2 linked regions of the Lonchura striata genome follow. The protein of the gene in region 2 purifies or fractionates together with the protein of the main gene of each other region. This does not show direct contact. Links are inferred from orthologs where the notes say so. Each region holds a gene or a part of one and is shown on either strand. Other genes may lie near its edges.

The links. The genes of interacting proteins can lie anywhere in the genome.
Region 1: the proteins of STK3 (region 2) and RASSF3 purify together in Homo sapiens (affinity purification with mass spectrometry; 4 studies listed by BioGRID and IntAct, with this or other methods). This does not show direct contact. The link is inferred for Lonchura striata from reciprocal best matches to the Homo sapiens genes STK3 and RASSF3.

The regions. Positions count from the first base shown.
Region 1 is NC_134607.1:42,828,081-42,838,056, forward strand, and holds the start of RASSF3 (ras association domain-containing protein 3), read left to right. Parts: upstream 1-5,238; 5' UTR 5,239-5,310; coding exon 5,311-5,431; intron 5,432-9,976.
Region 2 is NC_134603.1:22,422,018-22,432,817, forward strand, and holds the start of STK3 (serine/threonine-protein kinase 3), read left to right. Parts: upstream 1-6,203; 5' UTR 6,204-6,356; coding exon 6,357-6,379; intron 6,380-10,800. UniProt on the Homo sapiens protein: Stress-activated, pro-apoptotic kinase which, following caspase-cleavage, enters the nucleus and induces chromatin condensation followed by internucleosomal DNA fragmentation.

The sequences.
Region 1 (9,976 bases), on a different chromosome or scaffold from region 2:
GTATTGTACTTTTCTCTTATACTCCTGTTCTAAATATTCACTTATTATCTAGCAGCTGCTGTGGCTAAAGTAAGAAACATTCTACTTTTCTGAGAGAAGAAATGTACAAGGTTAGTCTCAAGTTCAAACAGCATGTAATTGTTCCTACTGCAATACAGATATCTAAAGAAGGAAGGTCACAGCTTGCTTGCACCTAAAAATGGCCAGGTTTTAAGCAGACCGGATTAGGATGAACAAACATACTGTTTTAGCAGTTTGACACGTTTAGGTTTTTCTGCCTCAATCAGTTTTCTCTTAATGATAGTTCCCTGCAAGCTCTCACTGAGAAGTCTACTAATTTTGGCACAAAGTCACCCGAAGCCCAGAGGCAAGTGTCTATCACGCGCCGAGTCAAATCCTATGTGTCAAACTATGTTACAAGGCAACTCAGTATCTTCTCTCCAGTTTTAGCCTTGAGTTTTATTTTTCCTCTGCTTTGCAGTGTAGCTGTTTACAATACAAAAGTGCTTTTCCTAGAGACTGTTCAATAATTTCCCTGAATTTGCTGCTACTAATATAATATCTAATGCAAAGCTAAAATTAACACAAATCTGTTATTTTCACATTACACTATTGTTCTCTTCATCTGGCTTTATAATCTTTTATTCAGCTTTAGTTTTGAAGCACAAACCTTCAGACATGCAGTAAACCTGTAACCAAACCACGGTAAAGAGGAGCAAGAGCAGCACATTGTACCAGCAGCAGTCTCCAGGAAATAGTGCATTACCTTCCTGATGCTCAGCTGCACCAGCACAGCAACAGCAATGCCCTCCCTCACACACTTCCATCACAGTACTGGTCCTACCTGCCTCTGGAAAAAAACATAAAGCAAATTAGAACAAATTTCACTGATTGAAGTATTTGAAATAAAACAGGGAATGACTGTACAGTACAATGGATGATAGTGAAAAGTATCAAGAATAAATATTGCTGAAATACACAGAGAGACATTCTTTTCCATGTAACAATGCAGGAAGACATTTATTTACAGAGTAATATATTGTTGAATTAAACAAGAGCTAATCAAATTTGACCTAATGTGCTTTGGAACAGTGATTTTCTTCCTCAAAATCCAGGATGTGTTTCATTGGAGCTATTGCTAAGAAGAAAGCTTCTTACTCCTTACATCTTAAGGGGAGAAATCAAATTATTCTCCAAAAAGAGTAATTAATAGATCATTAAATCTGATAACAGATGTATTTCACATCAGTTTGAATACTACAGTTCTTCAATTACTACCTTTCAAAAGGAGGCAAGGTTTTGGAAGTTGCAGATTGCCAATCACTGTTTAATTTTTAGTCCTTTCTTTTTGTGTACATGCAGCTGCTGAGAATTAAAAGTTTTTTTAGAAAGCTCACAAATATAGCTGCTTATTCGGATTTGGGAGGGATGAGCAGCTGAGCTGGAAATTGGAAGTATTGTGCTAGTTTCAACTGTTTTAAAGTCAAATGCAGCATGTCTTTGTTTCTTTTCTTTCATTAGTTGTGTTCTTTATTAATTTCCTAGCAACCGCATAGCCTTGTCACACATCATGATGTTATAAATTATGTTTTGTTATGAAATCAGTGATGCTGTGTCGTGGTATTGCTGAATCCCAGTGACTAGTTAGACAGGGCCCTTTTTTTGATGGTTGGATAAAAATTTACAGCTGAACAGAATTTAATTCAAGGTCCATCAATATGGGAAATATCCTTGTGGAGGCTTGACTTCTCCATACTGAACTGTGCCTGCATGTGTAGCATATAGCATAGTGACATATAATCCACATTGGGACAGGTTGGAAAGACACTGCCTTGTTTTCCAAGTATATTATTGCCTGCAAAGAAACCAAAACCTCATTTTGAGCCTAGATAATAGGGATATTTGCCAATGTAGACAAGCAGATACTGCTTAATACTCTCAGCTTTTCCTACACATAGTTCTTATTGTGAACAGGTGTGTGGGGATCTTTGTTCCTGAAACCAGACTAAATGGAGAAGTTCCAGTTGAAGTCAAAGCAAATGAAATCCTTTACTCATCCCAGCAATTTGCTGCCTAAGAGCTGGGGGGAGTGGAAATGGCAGTAAATCCTCACTGAGGAAAAATGCTCTTCTGCTCCAGAGCAGAGACTTCTGCATCTGCCTCACATCTAGCACCACTGTGTGTGCTCCTCCTGATTATCAGACTTCATTTTTATGGTATCTCAGCACTCCTGTGTTGCTCTAAAAAATGCTTGTTAGCAGAGAATTTGCTTTTAAAATACATGAACTCATCAGACCCCAAGAGAATATTTCCAGTAAAGCACTGCTGGTTGTTTACAGTTCATTTAAGAGTGTTTTATTGTAGCAATGAAGGTTAGTTTGGGGTATTTTTAGTTCTTTCAGCTCTGTCAGTGAGTATGGAAGGGCTGCAGTAAGGCAGGCACCAGGTCACCGTGTATCCCCCTCTGCTTAGAGCTGGTCTGTTGAGCTCTGTAGGTCAGGGTAGACAGGGACATGTCTAAACTGATGGATGTTTCATGAGCACCCCTTTGTTTTCCAGCTGTTGGGCACAGGTTGCCATGCAGAAAGTGGGTTGGGAGGCAGACACAGCTGGGCAGTGTGGTGAACCCAGCTCTCCTGACTAGGTGGTGACCTGCCACGCACCCCAGGCACCACACAGACGGAGGCTCTGTGGGCATTTCTGCCCTGCACAGGGGCCCGCTGGGCTCTGACCTCTGCACTGCTGTGGGGAGGTAGGAGGTCAGAGGCTGCTTGCATAGCAGAGGGGACAGCTGCTCACCTTCCTTCCCAGGCAGGTGGGACAGCAATGAAGGCAGCAGTCATTCCCTCCCCTCCTCCAGATGAGCAGAGTGTGACCTGGGGGTTGAAGTCTGTTGTAGGAAAAAGCCTTACGTGGCTTTTTTCCTGAAACAGAGGCAGTGATCAAGAGTCTGAGTCTGCTCACATTTCAGGTCCTTTTGTCCTCCTTGGAAAGTATCTCTGTGCTGTCTCTCTGTCAGAGTAGATTGAAAGGTACATATGCAGCCCTGTGTAGTACCTTTCTAATACAGTGAATTCTTAACCTTAATAATACATCAGTGTAATGTGAGGAATCAGAGTTGTCTTAGGAGGAGCTCTGTGGACTTTCCTGAGTCCAGCTGAGAGCAGTGCATTCCTGTGCACAGCACAGTGGCTCATATTCTAAAGCTAGCAGTTCAGGTTGAGAGGAACTCCCGTCACCATCACACACCCCGATCCCTGAGCTGTGGGAGGCAGGCTGTTCATTAGCTTTGTATTTTGGCCTAACTATGGCCTAAAAATGTAAAGTGATGTAGAAGTTGTGAAATTACTATATTGCAACTACCACTGCTGTTCAGTTTAATTTGAATTCAGGTCTGTGTTCTCATCTGTATTACGTGGTTTGTTGCACAGTATAATTGCCAGATTCATCCCAGTGAAGTCTTTGGATAAAGTAAGATCCGTTTGCTTTAAAGTAATACACAGTGTTTTATGTTCTTGCCTATTTTTGTTTCACTAAATATTGTCAGGTATAAACATCCACAGGTTTGTTACCATCATCAACAAAGTCAATTTATCCCCTTACGTTGTTCCAACTGGGTAAATTTTAAAGCCTCATAAAATTCCAGTATAAAGATACTATATCAGCATTTTCTGTTAAGTGAAAAAAATATTCCTGTCCCCTTCATATCCTGCTAAAGGAGATATATATATATATTCTTTGACAAATCGCAAAACTAGGCAATTTATTACATATTTACTTAGGGTGTGAAATTGTTCAGGGTTTTTTATGCTACTTTGATTTTCATTCAATTTTATATGTAAAAATTTCAGAAAAAAAAGAAGTCATTGTTTGATCTTGTATTTCACAGATGCCAGTACACACTCAGACTCCTATTTCCTAAGAAAAGCAATCTATCTGTCAGGCCTTTAACTCTGCTCCTTTCTTGTTCTGAATTGGGTGACAGACCTCCTGCTTTGCTAAAACTGTCACTTTGCTACTAAATTCCTTCTGGTATGACAGGGTGGAGCTCAAATGAGACAAAATCCAGTGGTCTGTGTCCTGCCTTCTGTTCTTTTCATTGACACTGGCTAAAGAATTGTGACAGATACAGTATAAATAGAAATGTTTATTTGTTTTTAGAGACATACTGACAACAGGAAATGCAATCAGAAACCAGTAGCTCAGTCCTGACTAGCAGCAGTATGTTTAGAAAGTCAGATGTAAAAAATGGAGTTAAATACTTCACATATTTTAGTGTAGAAAAATACACTGTGAATTCTGGAAGATTTATTAACTGTATGCTGTGAACATAGCTGGTGTAACAAAACCCTTACTTTCTGTAGTTTAAAGGTTGATACAAAAGGACCTTTGTTTTGTAATGACATTAGTCTTGATTTTCCAGGGATTTCTGCCATTCAGATCTAGAAGAAGAAAAAAAAAATAAAATCAAATGTGAGAAGCTGGACACATAGTCAAGGAAATCATACCATCCTTGGGAAATTGTTACATAGTCTTACTGTTTAAAAGTGTATTTTAGAAGTTGTGGTAAATTTTGCAGGGGGCATTGCAGTAAATAGCATCTCTGGATTTACAATTTAATATGCACTATGATTGAAGCAGGTGTAGGCTATGTATTGAGATACTGTTAATTTCTTTGTATAGTGATATATTAATAGATGCTCAATTTTTAAGTAAATTGTGTCAGTGAATGATTTGACTCTTACATTTGCCTTAAACTCCGTTAAGAGGAAAGTCTCATTTTGAACAATGTGTGTATCCATAGAAATCTCTGTTAAATTTGCTGCTCAGAACCTTCTGCTGCTCAGAAGAAAGTCTTTGAGAGACTCTCTTTACAGAGGAAATATATTGATTTACATTAAGGGATTTTGAAAGACTACTTGTCACTATCAGTTTTGATGTTTATTTGTTTTCAGCCTGGAAAAGGTAGCTACAGATGAAAAAAGGAGCCCTTCAAAGCCTTTCCTGCAGAAAACATGTCTTAACATCATTGGAAACACAGTAACAGGTTAAGACTCCAGAGCATTGGTCTTTCTTTAGCTGAAGCATCTATTAAAATAGCTGCTTCTTGTAATAAAGAGGGAGGTCTGGAGGGCTCTGAGCGGAGTGACGGAGAGGGTGGGGATTTAGGACTAACAGGTGGTCCTGAGACGTGCTGGCTGACGCTGAGCTCAGAGCCAGCGCACTCACTGTGGGTGTTCGTGGGCTCTCCTCTCTCCTCTGGATACATGTGCCTCTTGTTCCTGGGGTAGCAGTGGAGCCCTTTCAGCCATGGCAGTGAGAAATGATCTGAACAAAACCATCAGGAGGATAGCACGTTTCTTTTACTGGTTTCCTAAATCATTGAGCAGTTCGAGGAGAAGGACGGTAAAACTTCTCTGGAAATCTCCGGGTAAGTCTGCTGCTATTTTTCCCCAGATTTTTTCCTGCTAAACGAAACAAAACAAAAACAACAAAACAAACAAACAAACAAAAAACAAAAAAAGAGGGGAAAAAAAAAAATCTGTTTTCTTTGAACTGGTTAATTTTTCCAGGCCAGAATTGTTTGCATTTTTTCATTCTTGGAGGGTCATTAGGCAAAACTGTCAAAATATTCTGGTAAAGCAATAGAAGGTTCATCAGGCTTGTTCTGGCAAAGAGTTCTTTTGCAGCTGCATAATTTATTCACATCACTGATATTTGGTATCTTGTTTTTGCCATGTTTCTCCCTTAGGTATGTATATAGGAGCTCTGATATGACTCAAATAATTGCCTGAAAGTTATTTAGAATTGCCTTGAGCTGTTCATTGATCTAGAAGGCTGTGCAAAGACTGAACTGACTAAAGACTTTAACTCATTGTACCAGTGTTCACACAAAGTGATGGGCAGCTTAGAGGGGCTTATGCTCAGCAGTGATGCACTTGCCTGCTCTTCCATTTTATCAGCTGAAATGCAGTACAGCTCAGCTGACCAGTTATTAAAGGCATTGTTCCTCACAGCATCTCAGTGTTCTGATCATTGTCCAAGCCTGGCAGAAAACTGTTTGCATCTCTCAGATTAACATTCTCATAAACGCCCTTACAGCCCAAATACCGTTTTGTCCCTTTAGCACGGTCTGTGAAGGCTGGGGCTGAGGCATGTTCTCAGGGGGTTGGAAGAATGTGCACTGCCATAGTGGGGGAAGCCAAGTTCTTTATGTTCTTCTTAAGGGACTAATGGTACAAGGTCAGATTTCTTTTGACTGGGACTCTTTGGAACAGAATGGTGAACTTGTCAATTCTGCAACATTAATAACAAGTTTGTATTTGCATGGCACAGACTTTGGGTCAGTTCCACAGCTGAGCAGCTTAGTGTTGTACTTGAGACAACAGATCTGTGACTCTTGAAAGGGGATGTGCCATCTGAAATCTGTCACAGTAAGGGTGTTAGGACCTAAATGACACATGACTTCTTCCCAAAGGAATCCACAGATTTCAAATATTCACAAGGAAATCTCAGGACATTGAAGTCTGTATGAAACTTTCCTTGATGAATCTAGAGTTTTGAACCTTTCTTGGAATACTGGTAATCTCAGGTCCTCCTAATACATGCAAATCATCCTGAGTCCTCCTAACACATCAGATCATTCCTGCATCTCCTTTATTAATTATTGATAGTAAAAACTATCAATAACTTCTATGGAGAGCTTTAATTGCTAGCTGGGTTACACATGTGTGAAAATGTTTGCATGCCAGTTATCTTTTACCCCAGTATTGCAAAAAAATAATTGTATCTGTGACTTGTAACAAGAAAAGAGGTGAACTCTGAGTGCTTTAAAAATAATGCTTTTTTGTGGGTTGCCTTCCTTCTCCCTCTACATCTGGTGGTTTGAATAAAATGTATCTTTTTACGATCATTTTTAGTGTATGCTTTAGCACCTCTTTAGAACTGAATTTGTGAATATGTCTGAAGTGCCCTAGAAGTCCTTTGCTACCAGTGCAATGAGATATTTGTCACAAAATTGTGGGTTTGATGGAAATGTGTCAATTCAGTGGAAGGTTGAGTCCAAGCAGAAAAAATCTCAGTGTTAAAATTCAACTCAAATTTCTTGTAAGTTTACAGAACCCATTCTTATAAACTGGAAGCTGAAGTCCTGATGCTCCTCTCACAGGGGAGGAGACACAGCTCCTGATTTCTCTTTAGTCTGTACAAAGACAGTAAGTTACACTTGTTAGTTAAACCTTAGCTACCCTGACGTCCACAAACATTTCTGCATTTTTCTTCAGTGTCCAGAATTTCCCTTTAGTTTTTGGTGAATTACAAAATTACCCATTTCCTCAGCTTCCTCGACTCTGAAACATCACAATTTGGTAATTCTTTACCAAGGTGCCCTTCTGTCCTTCTGAGAGAGTTATTCAACTCAAAAGCCTACGCTGAGAAGTACTGACAATCTACCCTGAGCAGTATTGACCATCTGCCCTGATCAGAATTGACTACCATCCCTTGGTACACAGAGATTTACCCTTGCTTCCTAGAATCCAACAACTTTTTGCTGTCTTTTCCTGGTAGGTTTTACTCCAGGACTGGCACTTACAGAATTTTTCATTCAGGATGAGCTAGGACCCAGGATGACCCAGTAGAACAATTCTGTGTCGCTAGGCTTGCCCCATGGATTAATAACTAGCTGGCAATTAAAGCTTTCAGTAATACTTACCGATAATTTTTAGCCACATGTGCTTTAATAATAAAGTAACATTTTAACAACAACAAAATAGAAAATTTCGTTATTTAGACATGTTAGGAAGGTCAGAGATTATGTTCTCTGCTATCTCTTAGATTTTGGGTGATCTCATTCATCATGTAAACCAAGAGATGGGCACTGTGCCTCTGCATAGTACCCTCAGACTTGCTGCTTTTGTTCTGCTTCTATCACTCCATGTCTCAAGATGCCTTGTCCTCTCTGCTTGACCCAGAAACAAAATCTGCTGAAGCACAAAATTATTTTTTAAGTATAACAATGAATTTAGTATTGTTGTAGGTCACTGTGTTCAGAAAGGTGCATTTGACATAATTTTAGAAAGAGCTGTCAAAGCATGATTAGGTTGCTGTTCCTAAAAATGTTTAGCTTTTCAGCCTGTCCTTGGATGGGCACTTTGGGATTAGTGGCCACAGACTTTGGCCTACAGCTAATGTGCTCCTTGCAAAGCTCTAAAAGAAGGAAGAAAATTTGTGAGCATTCTTCAGTCACTGATTTTGATTAAGTTACTTACTGAAGGATTAAAAAAATATCTTAGACATGGTTCAGAATATACTAAATGTAGCTGATAATATTTTAACTGCATTTAGTTTGATGAAGCGTACATTACATAAGAGGTTTAAATTGAGGGATGTAGATTTTAGGGTTCTGGAGCCTTCATTTCTTTGAAATATGTTTGAATGTTTCCTACAGCATCTTAGGAGAATTTATGCTGGCACATCATGTGACTAGAAATTTTATCATGATAAAGTATGTATGTACAGGGAGAGATATTGAAAGGCAAAGGAATTAGAAAAAATATCATGAAGAGCCATGATAAGACTATAGAATGATACAAAAATTCAAAATAGACATGTAACTCCTGTTTTCTCTGTCTTATAGCAGAGGAATAAGGTGAGGGGTGACAAATATAAAGCAGATAAAAGGATTTTTCAAAATTATTTTTAATTCAGTATGTAATTAAATTGTAGAACTCATTACGAGAGGATGCTGCTGAGGTCAGGAATGTAACGAGATTTAAAGAGGGTCTGGAAAAATAAGAATATTCAATATTATGATAATTGAAGCTACAATAAAAGCTTTGAAAGCCACATAAATCTTCTTGCTTAAAGATTTAAGATGACTTTTAACAATTAAGGATTAGTCTGAGATAATTTTGTGGCTCAGATCTCACAACTGTTACTCTTTCATGAATTTCTCCTTAAGCAACTAATGCACCCCCCTGGAAGAGATAATTTTATGATCTGCATTGATTTAAACCTTTACGATGTTTTTTAGGCTTATATAGAAAAAAATAGGGAGTTCTTCTGAGCTCTCAGGACTATTTTTATGTGTTCCATGTCATCTGTGAACTTGAAACTTGTTTGTTACCAATTCCAGCAAGAAGAGGGAGTTTGTTAAGTCAGATTTTAGACATGCTCAGAAGACAATCCCATATTATCCTGTGGAAAACATAAAAAGCGTGATGCTTGCTGATTTTTTTTTTTTATATTTTTTTTTTACTTTGCAAAACTGCCCCAGGGGCAAACCCTGCTTGTTCTGCAGCCATTACAATAAGTAAATAACTACAGAAATCAAGTCTGTCTGAGGTGGATGATTTTGTGTCCTGTTTCTTGCCAAGTTCTGCTGGCTCATGAAGACCTTTATTCTCAGCTCTCATCTGGTGAGAGTTCTCATCATTTTGAGCTACTGTTTCTACTAGGTACTTTGGAAGGTTCTTTCAGAGGACAGAAAGTGAGAATTTATTGACAGAATTTTAAACTGATTATATTTCAGGCAGCTGGAAGTTGATTTTTACCCTTTGCTTTTCATTAACATTTTTTGCAACTTTTCTGCTCTATTGAGTTACTCCTTTAGTCCTTCTCTAATGTTAAAGTTAGAATATTTTTATTGGTTTCAAACTACTTTTGGTAAGAATGGCTAAGCATCCAATATAAAATTACATTTATGTAAGACTATGTGTTATACAAAATAAGTGGAAATCTTTACATGGGTATGATGACATGCTTTAAACTTGCTACCTCCTCAAAGATAATTCTTTAAAATATAAAGCTTTGACTGATCATGCAGTACAAAAATTCAACCTTTCAGCACTCTCTTCAAAATATATCCAGCTGATAAATCTATAACACATATGGGATGGGAGGACAATGATAATTCAGTATCTCAACTTAGATTGTCTTAGGTTAAAATATTTGTAAATTAATTTTTTTGTTTTCATAT
Region 2 (10,800 bases):
CCAAACCAAACTTGCTTAGAAGAGACAAAGGAGTGAATTGTACAAAGCCAGTTCTGTGAAAATTCATTATTTGCTACTTTGATTTTCTTTAGCACACAGGCTGCTGTGGGGAAGGCTTCCCACTGCTTTTAAGTGCAAAATGGGAATGTAAGTGCAAATCTTTAGATTTGCAAATGTTTAGATTTTTCCAGTGGTCCTTATCTTGTAATCAGACACATTACCTCATATTCAGTCATGAAATGTCTGTTATGTCCCTGAACACTTTTTTTAGTGAAGTTTTAGGACTGGAATTGTATTTAGGTTTTGGATTTTTTTTTAAGTGTCACTGTACATGTTGTACAAATAACTTATTTGGACTTGAATTATTATGGCATGCTTTGGTTGGGAAGGTTGGAAAAAAGTAAGAAACTGAAATGTGGTTTCTGGATTGTAAAGCATTTAGATGAGTGATTCTTCTTCATAAAAACAATTGCTTTTTAATATTTATGAAGCAAGCTGGAGATGCACTTCAGAAATAAATAGGAAGGGTTTTACTAAAAACCCCAAAACTCTGTAACTGAATAAACTGTAAGTACTTAATGGCATTGTTTTTGCAGTGCTCAATATTCACAATCTGTTTTCAGGTTGTTGAGTTCTCCTTATTTTTTATTCTGTCATTTGGCATCACACATATTGAAACTTCTCTTCCAGCACTTAGGTGAAAGGCCCACAAAGGCAAGGAAACTTCCCTCCTTTGAATCTGAAAGAATGGGTCTTGTTAGCCTCTTGAAATCTTTATGCCCAAAAATTGTAAAAAAAAAAAAAATCCTTATCTTCTCTAAATATTTTGACCATGTATTATTAAAATTCTCATCTCAGAAGCTTAAGGAAGATAGGAGAAAATCCAGCCACCATGGTGGTGGAAGCCTTGGCCATAAGGCTGTGTGTACTCACACAGCTGAAGCTGCTTTCATGAAGTACTTGATTCATCAAGTAATGATGATTCAATCTTTCTTTTGTTATTGATACTAGTTTCCACCCTGGCTGCAGGCATGAAGGCTTGCTAGTTAAATGTTACTTATTTATTCTCCAGGGTGTGAGCACACCTCTTTGCACACTGGAGAGCAGATGGTTGCTCTCAGAAAGAGAAGGAATATTTTTGTGCAGAAGAAAATCCAGAGTAACCCTCAGTATTACCACAACAGTAATTGTTTCACAATCCATAATGATTTTATTAATGCCAATCTAGATCCCATGAGCACAATCAATGCAGCTGTAGTACAGGCTAGAATATCTTCTGTGGTCAACTGTAAATAGCAACTCTGTATCCATGGTTTATTTTTACCATAGTGTGCTATAATAGGAAAAATAGCAAATGGTAATTCTATATATAGCCTGTTACCAAGACTGTGAACAAAATGGTTAGTCAACAGTAAAAGCCTATCCTAATCAACAAATGGTTTTAGGTCCAGTAATAATATTTTGAATATCAAAATAATGTATACTAGGTAGTGAAAGGAATTGCAGCAGTGCAGCTAATATTTTATAGGCCTTTTATGACTCTTTTTAATGTTAAGTAGGAATTTTGTGAATCATGTTGATTTTAACAGACTGGAAATGGATAGCAGACTCTATATTGCTGTACTTATATATTGCCTGACTTTTTATCTTCTGCCTCTTTCTTTTGTTGGACCAGCAAAAATTCATTTTCCTTTTAGTGACATTAATTAACCATTAAATGGTGAATAGATCAGGAAAGGAGAGCCCCCTGTCTCTATGCCTTGTTCTTTATTCCTAAACTTACTTAAAAACCCACTATAGAAAAATATAAATTTTATTCCAGGCTTGAAAATATTATGTTCTTTTATATTTTATGTATAACTATTTTATGACTGACAAGGTTAGAAAAGTATATAACAAATTCTTAGATAAGTCTTCAAGGTTACTTCACATTAGACATGATAGGTAGGAAGAAAATACAGGCAGAAGTCAAGTTTCCTTATCTTCTGTATAAACAAGCTGGTATTTCATTCAAGGCCTTTTCCTTAACTTTCGGCATACCAGATCAGTATCAGGCAGTCACAGGGAGAGATATGCAAACATGCTGTTGTTGACTATTTATCTACTGAATTTATGAATTGGATTCCAAGGAAAGCAGGCTCCTGAATTCATTCCATCTTTGTGCTTGCCTGACATCCCCTACCTTTCTCCCCTTCACAATAATTTGTGACTTACCTTACTAGTCTTAAACATGTTTCATGGAAAGTTGGAGGTCTGTAATTATAGTAAATTCCTATTTTTACAAAACTCAAGGGTAGAGGAGGGAATGCCCTGCTTGTGGGGCAGTCTACTCCAGGGCAAAGGAAAAATAAGGGAAACTCTGTCCTTACCTGGGTTTGGGCCCATGCTGTGCACTGGCCTCCAGCATTCTCCTGTGAGCCAAACACCTTTTCCTGTGAGTGAATCTGCAGATGTGATGGAGACACAGCATCCTTAGGACTCTGTGGGCCAATGCCAGAGTGGGCCAAGGCATGGTGAGACACCAGTGATGTGGAGGGTTTTAGGGAGGATCAAGCTGGGAGCGTGCTTGGGGGTCTATATGGCTTTTGTTGGTTTTGGTGTGCCAAGCAGGTGAATGGAGCTACTGTGGGATGATAATTCCACATCAAGGGAAAGAGCATTGAAGACCCGGTCTGTGTGAAAGAAATGGGAGCTACCATGGTGAAAGGGTAGAAAGCAAGGAAAAAGAGCTGGCCTGTGAAAAGCAGCACAGACATGATGAAGGACTAGGGGCATTTTCTTTGGGGAGTGTTCATGACAAGTATCTCTTGGAAAACACACACTATTTATTAATTCTGCTGTTTTACAGTAGCATCATGTATTCATTACAATGTACTTTGTTTAAATGAGCCTGATCTAATACCTTCTGAAGTAAATGCTGCTTTTATTTGCTATCAAAGGGATGAGATAAAGTCCCTGCTATAACATAGGTAATTTATTTGCATGATGTTTATGAATGACTTTGAAGTACATATTTGTAATTTAAATCCCAACATTAGTAATACCTGTTGAAAATGCAGACATGAGCTTCTCAAGTAATTTTTATTCTTCTTAGTTTTATTACAAACTATATACACTGAGACAGGACTGATATCTTAGGACTTTTTAGTTCATATTTTTAGGGGCTTAAGAACTTCCTTTGTGTATGTTTCTACAGCACCTAATAGTTGTCCATACATCATGATTTCTGATTTCATTGTAGTATAAGTAATTATAATATATATTATTTTATCTGTTTACAAAACTGTATTATAAAATAATTATAGTACTCAAAAATTAAGTATGGTCTTCATCCATTCTTTGGCCTAAGGAATTGTATTTGATGTTGATGCCAATTCTGAAGAGAAGGGCGACCTAATTCAGGCAGGTAAATTTGTAAAATGGATAAAATACTTCAGAAGAAAAGAGTAGTTCAGTTAGTTTCCTCCTACATTTTTAGGATTGGGCTACATTAAGCCTTTTCTTACTCAGCTGGCTTCTTAGTGTTAGTCCTGCTGTTGGAAGAAATCATGGGAATACTCATGTAGAGTGTCTGCAACTTCCTCATCTCCATCTTGTCTAGACACCAGCAATCTCATAGTATATTCATGCCTCCAGAACATCTAGACTTCTCTTAACTGGGAACTCTGAATGAGGTAGGAGAACAGAGGGAATCTGTTTTCCCTTTCAAAGTTCCTTCTTTGCCAGTGGCTAAGTACAGTATTGTAATGAATACCAAATCAGTGTTATATTTCACAGTATGGTTCTCAAATTCATGTCACAGGGGAAAGGTGAGATAGTGCTATTTATTCCAATGTCACTGACTAAAAATACTACTAGAAATTATAAGAGATTAATAAAGTGATATTGAAAAATACTGTGGTAAATATGTTATCCTACTGATGTTTTATTTTCAGTTTAAATGTACTTAGAAAGCTTTCTGGCAATTGTACAAGATACAACTTAAATTTCTGTGAGAGAGGCATGGAATTAGTCCATACTTTTTTTGGCACTGTCTGCCCCATTATGTAATAAAGCCAGGCTATCTAACTTCTCCTCTTTCAGACATCTTGAGTTTTTGACACCCTTTTCTTTCTTCAGTGGCATAGATGGAGGATAGTCTTTCTCCATCTTCCTCAGTTACTGAGGACTCAGGGTATTTTTTTGAAGTGGGGATGGTGGTATTAAATAATTTCAAATGAAATGAGAAAATTTCTAAATGTGCTAGTTTTTTGCTTGGAAAAAAATTTTTTGTTCTTGTCAATTGTTGTTTAAGGGAGAGGTAAAAGTGGTGGATTAGACTGTTTAGCCTAAGTTTTTCCAGAAAATGAAATATATGTGTGAATGGGGAGAGGGAGCACTTCTTGGCTCTGTTTCTTTGTATTGCTGTTGCAACTATAATATAGTACCTGTATTTTATTTCTAAGAATCCTTTTCCATGCTTTAATGTGTAAGTCTGTGGCACCTTTGGCTTGAGATGTGGCAGCAAAACTCGCCTCCTCTGAAATAACCTGGAAAAAATACTGTCTTAAATATTTGTGTTAAAGGATGTGGAGACAACCTCTGCATTCCAGAAGTATTAAAGCCAAAGAGGGATTCATTAGGTGAAATTGGTGAATTGTAAATAATAATTGGTCAGTGGCTATAGCCAAATATCCTGTAGAACAAAGCTGGACACTGGCCACGTGGCATTTGCTATCTGCCTGACCTCACTGGAAAATGAGACATGTGGAATTCCTCCTCACCACTTTCTGAGGCACTTATACCATACTCCATCTCAGGCATCTGCTGGCTCCTTTTCTTAAGTGGTTTTTTTTTTTTTTTTTTTTTTTTTTTTTTTTTTTTGGCATATCCTACAAACTGCTGTTTATGCTATGGACACATCTGGCAGTTCTGCTGGTGAGACACTGTGGCTTGTGGGATGATGCTTGGAAGAGCTGTGCATTAATCTGTTGTGCAAAAGAAGATGTTCTATTGCAGTTTTTCCATGACTCAGAAAAACAAAGAAACCTAAAAGGTCATATGGTGGTGTGTGATTTGTTTTGTGGGTTCATTCAATATTGCCATTGTGCATTTGGCCCAACTACAATGAGTCAACAGGGTTGGACTGACTCAAAGTAGAGAACTTGCACAACAGTAGGACTTCATTCTAAATTCCCTTGCTAGTTCACATCAAAGAGATGAAATTACGTATGGAGTGCAGATATTTTTATGAAGTGGGAGTGTAATACCTGCACATCTAAAATCAGTTTGAAGTGAAACGTGGGCATCTCAGTGTTTTTATGCAACTTGCCTAGGTGTTTTACTACCTTGAACTTCCATTAGTTAGGCAAATAAACCTACTGTCAGGAAAGTATATAGAATTTGGCTTGAGCAAGTCAGCTTTGCTTGTATTGACTTGGTTACATCTACTTGGATCCATCTGATTCAAGCACGTAAGTCGAAGTTGTAAGGTGGTGAAATTGCAGCTGTCACATGGTGCTCTGGAGCCTGAAACCTGCTGCTTGAGTAATTAATTACGTGACAGCTTCCCTGCTTCGCAGGCTACCCTGTGTGCTTTGGCACCACAGAGCCAAGGGCCAAGCGCCGGCCCTTTTCCCCTCAGGAGCTTGCCCGTGCCACCCGGGGTGGCAGCGGGGAGCGGCTCGGCCGCCGCGCCGGACCCGGGGCTTCCCCTCAGCGCTGCTCCGGCCGCCCGCCCAGGCGGGGGCTGCCCGCGGCGCCGCCGCCTCGCCCGGCGCACGCAGGCGGTGGAACGCCCGGCCGCCCGGCAGCGCTGCCCGAGGCCACGGGGCGGCCGCGGGGGAAGGGCCGCCCTTGGGCGGCGGAGCTGCCTGGGGCTGCCCTGCCCGGCGGCGCAGCGCAGAGCCGGGGACGGAGCGCGGGAGCGGAACGGCGCCGCGGGGGTGCCGGTTCGCACAGCCCGGCTCGCGGGGACGCCCCGCGGGCGGACTACACCTCCCGGCGTGCCCCGCGGGCCGTAGCCGCGCGGGGCATGCCGGGAGCTCGGCAGCGCCGCGGCGTCCATGATCTTCCCCTCCCGCCGGCGCGGCAGCGCCCGCTTGCCTCGCGGGGGGCGGGGCTTTCTCGCAGCCGCCGCTCTGAGCGACGTCCACGCCACCCTATCAGCGCCGGTGTGGCGCGGCTGTAGCCAATGAGCGGCGCGGGGGGGCGGCTCCCCGCCGCGGCCGGAGGTAGCGGTAGTGGCGGCAGCCGGAGCGCGGCCGTGGGAGGTTGAGGGCTCTGTGGCGGGGTTGTGAGATCGCTCCGGAGCTCTGCGGGGCCGCTCCGGCCCGGGCGCTCGGTCTTCGGCCCTGCGGGGCCGCGGCGGGGACGGCATGGAGCAGGCAGCGCCCAAGAGGTAAGGACCCTCCCCGGCGGCCCCTTCCCCGGCCAGGAGCGGTGGCACGGCCGGGGTGAGGCCTCGGGCCCGGGGTCTGTGAGGGGGCAGTGGGACAGGCACGGCACCGAGCCCTGCGCCCTGCCCGGCGGCCGGAGGGCTCTCTCGCGTGGGGAGGGCTCTTCTGTACGGTGGATCCTCCGAAATACAGCCTCCAGTGGAAATACAGCCCCGGCGGAGACGAGCCCCTGGGGGCTGCTGGAGTTAACAACATTTTTAACGTGAAGTGAGGGAAGCTTGGTCGCCGAGCAGAGTCCTCTCTGCCCTGAGGGTCTCTCACTCGATGGTTCAGGTCTGTGGCAGGAGCACACATGAGTAGTTCTCTTTTCACGCTGGAAAGTGTCCTTGTGCTCTGCTGCTGGAGGGATGGATGCTTGTGGGGGTGGGCGTTGCATAGTTGCAATTGCAAATCGGGGAGTGGGAAGAGGTAAAAGCCAGGAATATTCCCACAGTAGATGTATTTTCTCAAATATATAGACTGGCAGGTCATATTAATTACTGTGCACGTTTTTAAAAATAATGTATCACTTGACTTCTTAGTGCATAAAATAACTTTGTGTTAAATTTTAGTCATATATTTCAGTTGGAAGAAGATATAGTTGTACAATACACAGACCATAGTTGTGTGGTGTACAGAATGTAGTTACATGGTTTACGTATATATATACACTGCCTTTGAGCTCTGATTTTACTTTTGCTTCCTGATAATAAAAAATCTAGGGACTACGCAATATAAATTTGTGATAAAGGATATTAGATACGTTTTTGCATTAATCTTTAAAACCTATATGTTCCCCATTTAGAAAAAACATCTTTAAAAACAACTTCCTGTAGGGTGATAAGACTTGAGAAGAATGTAGTCTTAAACATCTGATGACTTCTCCAATAACTCATAAAGTGACAGTACCTACTGTGGAAAATTTTGAAAAAGAATTGGTTTGTAGTTGCTATCTAGGGTGGTTTTAGCAGGCAGTGGGGTAAGAAGGGACAGACCTATGCTGTACTTTCAGGCTGACAGTTCTGCATATCTCAAATGAAGGAAGTAGGACAAGCACCAGCACAAATTTAGGAAAAGAAATGGAAAAGTCTGGGGAGTAATCAATGTTGCTAGTAGCAGTGGAAACGTTGGGAACTGGTGGTGTAACAGGACTGAAAATCAAACTCAGAAGTTAGCATAACCTCCCAAATGTTTTGGGGAAGATGTGGCATTTGCTGTAACTTTATTACCTAGCTGGAGGTGTGTGTCTGGCCTAACTGAAACAAAGAGATATTTAGGTCTTTGGATTTGGTCAGAAATAACTAGATGTGGGAATATCTAAACTCTGGCATGTTTTTATATTCCACATGGGTTTTGAAGCTTATTTCTGGAAATTTGTGATTTGTTTCTTTAGTGGGAGGGAAAATTTGAACTCAGCAAGATATTAACTGAGGTTATTTCTTAAGATTTCAAGCAAATTTTTCATGGCTGTGCATAATATTTCCTTTATTGGTAGTTTTGTACAGTTTCCCAGTTGTTGGTATTCTCAACTATTCTAGGCCACCCCCTTTTTCTGCAAGTGCAGAAGAAATGCAGATTATTTTTTGTGGGCTAAGTTTTTGGTGCTGTCCTTGGATGCAGTAGTGGCATGAAATGGACTGTGTTTACTTGGCAAAACAGATGTGAACACTAGAATTCTTTACTTTGGTGCCTGTTCACAGGAGCAGTTACTGAGAGGGATCTATTGTCATCATATCTGTGATGCATTTCCATTTACAGTTAGTAGGAATTTCATATGTACAATAAAAAGCTGCATGGATGTCCTAGAATCCCAGTGTTACCTCATAGGTATAGGGCAGTTTTATCTGCACTTCCTTGTAGTGAAGCACACAAGGCAATTGCCTGTTGTATAAATCTGTAATACAGCCCTTCAGAAAGCAGCAGTGGTGATGCCCAAGTGACATTCTAAGCCATTGTGACTTTTCAATGGAGGTGCTATCAAAATAATTCACTTTTTTCATTTGACTAATGCACTGCAGCACTAACACCAGACTTTAAAGGGAGACTCCTTTTCAGAATATTTTAAATTTTAGAAATAATTTAGAGTAGATTTTCTGATTTTATGCTGAACAATTAGTGCAGTAGTTGACACAGTGTTTTCTTGCATCTTGAATCTTTAATTGTACTTTAGATGTGCTTTATAGATTTTTCTCTCACTAGGAAGGAGATTTACTCTTGAAATAGTTACAAAATTTGCCTCTTAGTGGTGTGATTTTCCTTGGTTGTTATTGCTTTGTTTTTCTGTATCCCTGGCAAGCTCGCATGTGAGGATACAGGTTGCATACAAGGGAAAACCAAAGTAGTTATTGACAGAATTTTCTCAAGTACATAGGTTTTAATCTTGCCTATCTCCTGCATGTTGCTGTCAAATAAAAGTCTGCTTAACAAGCATGGGAAGTGTTAATGAAGATTTTCCAGTCCTTTCTTTAAACTTGAGTTTAATGTTCACTGAAAAACACAACATTTCAGGCTTTGTGGAAAAAGGAAGCTTTTCCTTTTCATGTTCTAATAAAAACTTGTTATTAGAATACAAATTGTTTGTGAAAAAGTGTGTTTTTGTTTTTTAAAGTGTGTGTCAGTGGACATGTTGGCAATTGTCAAGTTCCTCCTGAAAATGATGAAACAAAAATGTTTGGGCTTTGCTGGCAGGATGCTCAATGGAAGTACACAGCACAGTGGTGTAAACTGTCTTAATCTTGCTTCTACTTGTGTGAGTGCTGTGAAGCAGAACAAATGTCCCAAGGCTTCCACCTGCCACTTCTACTTCAGATGACTGCAGTGATTGCTCCTACTACCTTCTCTTTTAATATATCAGTATAATTGATCCCAGCCATTCTTTTTAAATGTTTCAATGTGCTAGTTCTTCTGCACAATAAACTGTATATATTCATGTTTCTTGGAGCGGCTGTCCAGTTTTTTGTAACTCATGACAGTCATTGATGGCTTTCTATTCTTTATTCCAGCTTTAGTTTGATTTTTGAACTTTCAAGGATTTTTTATCCCTACCGCTGTAGCACATCACCAATTTATTTTGTGAAATCTATATATAAAGACTGTAGGGTACTATTGTCATGTTTTTTTTTTCCTTTCATTTTTTAGGGAGGAAATCTCTTGCTCTTTCGTGTTGCAGTTCAAATTTTTCTGATCTTTATGCTGTTATTGAGTGCCTACTAGGTTTTCCTTTTCTAGAGTTTTTCTGATGTACTCAATGGCATCTAAGATTCTGGTCAGACTAGGAATTAATGTTTTCTCGTATGAACTGGATTTATAAAAGTATAATTATTTGCTAGGATGTGTTTTCCTTGTTAAGAGACAAGGTGTTATGTGAAAGTTAAACCTTGGAACAAGAAAATAGTTTTCACAGGCCTTTCCCAGAAGTGTAATTTAGTTAATCCTTCTGGTTTAAGGACCAGCTTCCCTTCTAGAAGACCTCTAAAATAGCTCATAATCACTACCCGATAACTTAGATTCTAGAGAAAAAAGTAACTCAGAACAACTTTGTCCAGGTTTTATACTGAACTTCTCTGCATCTCCTTTGGACTTTCTCATATATGGAGATATATATACATACATACACAGACGTATGGGACTTGCATGCTTTGGCCAGAGTAAAGCAGTGCCTGGATGTGCTGATTTATTTGTTCTGTTTTAAATGCTTGTGTTATGAAGGTAGGGAATCAGTGAGGGAGAGAGTGAGACACATTCTGTCTTTCTCTCCTATTGCTCTTGTGCCATTTATCTCTTCATTTTTGCCTCCTGCCCCCTCTTCACTTTGCCCCCTTCCCTCTGCCAGTAAAAGCTGATGCTGAACTCTTAGATGTGTTTCTCTGCCCTAAGATTGTTGCTTTTAAGCAACAAGGTACTATTTCTAGTCTCTTCTTGTATTCTGCTTGGTGCTTTGCAGCCAGTTACACCAGTCGCCACCTTCTTCCTTGTTTCTCCTGGAGTTTATAGCAATGCTGTCTTCACTGCAGCCCTTCAGGGTATATCACCTGATGTTCTGCAGTTCAAGAGCTGAATATTTAAACATCCAGAAACAGAAATCATTAGAATGTCTGAGTCATTAGGATTTTTTGTTGATTCAAAGACCTGTGGTGTTGATACTATCACTTGAACATCTTACCCAGCATCTGTACTGTTACAGTGCTTGTGACGAGCGGGGGAGGTGCTTTGAGCACAGTATTTGGTGATGACATTCCTGAGGCCATGTACCTTTCTCACTGGAAATAGGTTTTGTATTAAGCTACCTTAATGTTAAGTGTGATTTGGTCTTGTAACATGTTTGTCCGACTTGAATAATATGAACATAATTTGAATTTTTTTTTCTGTTTTTCTCCATGTTGAT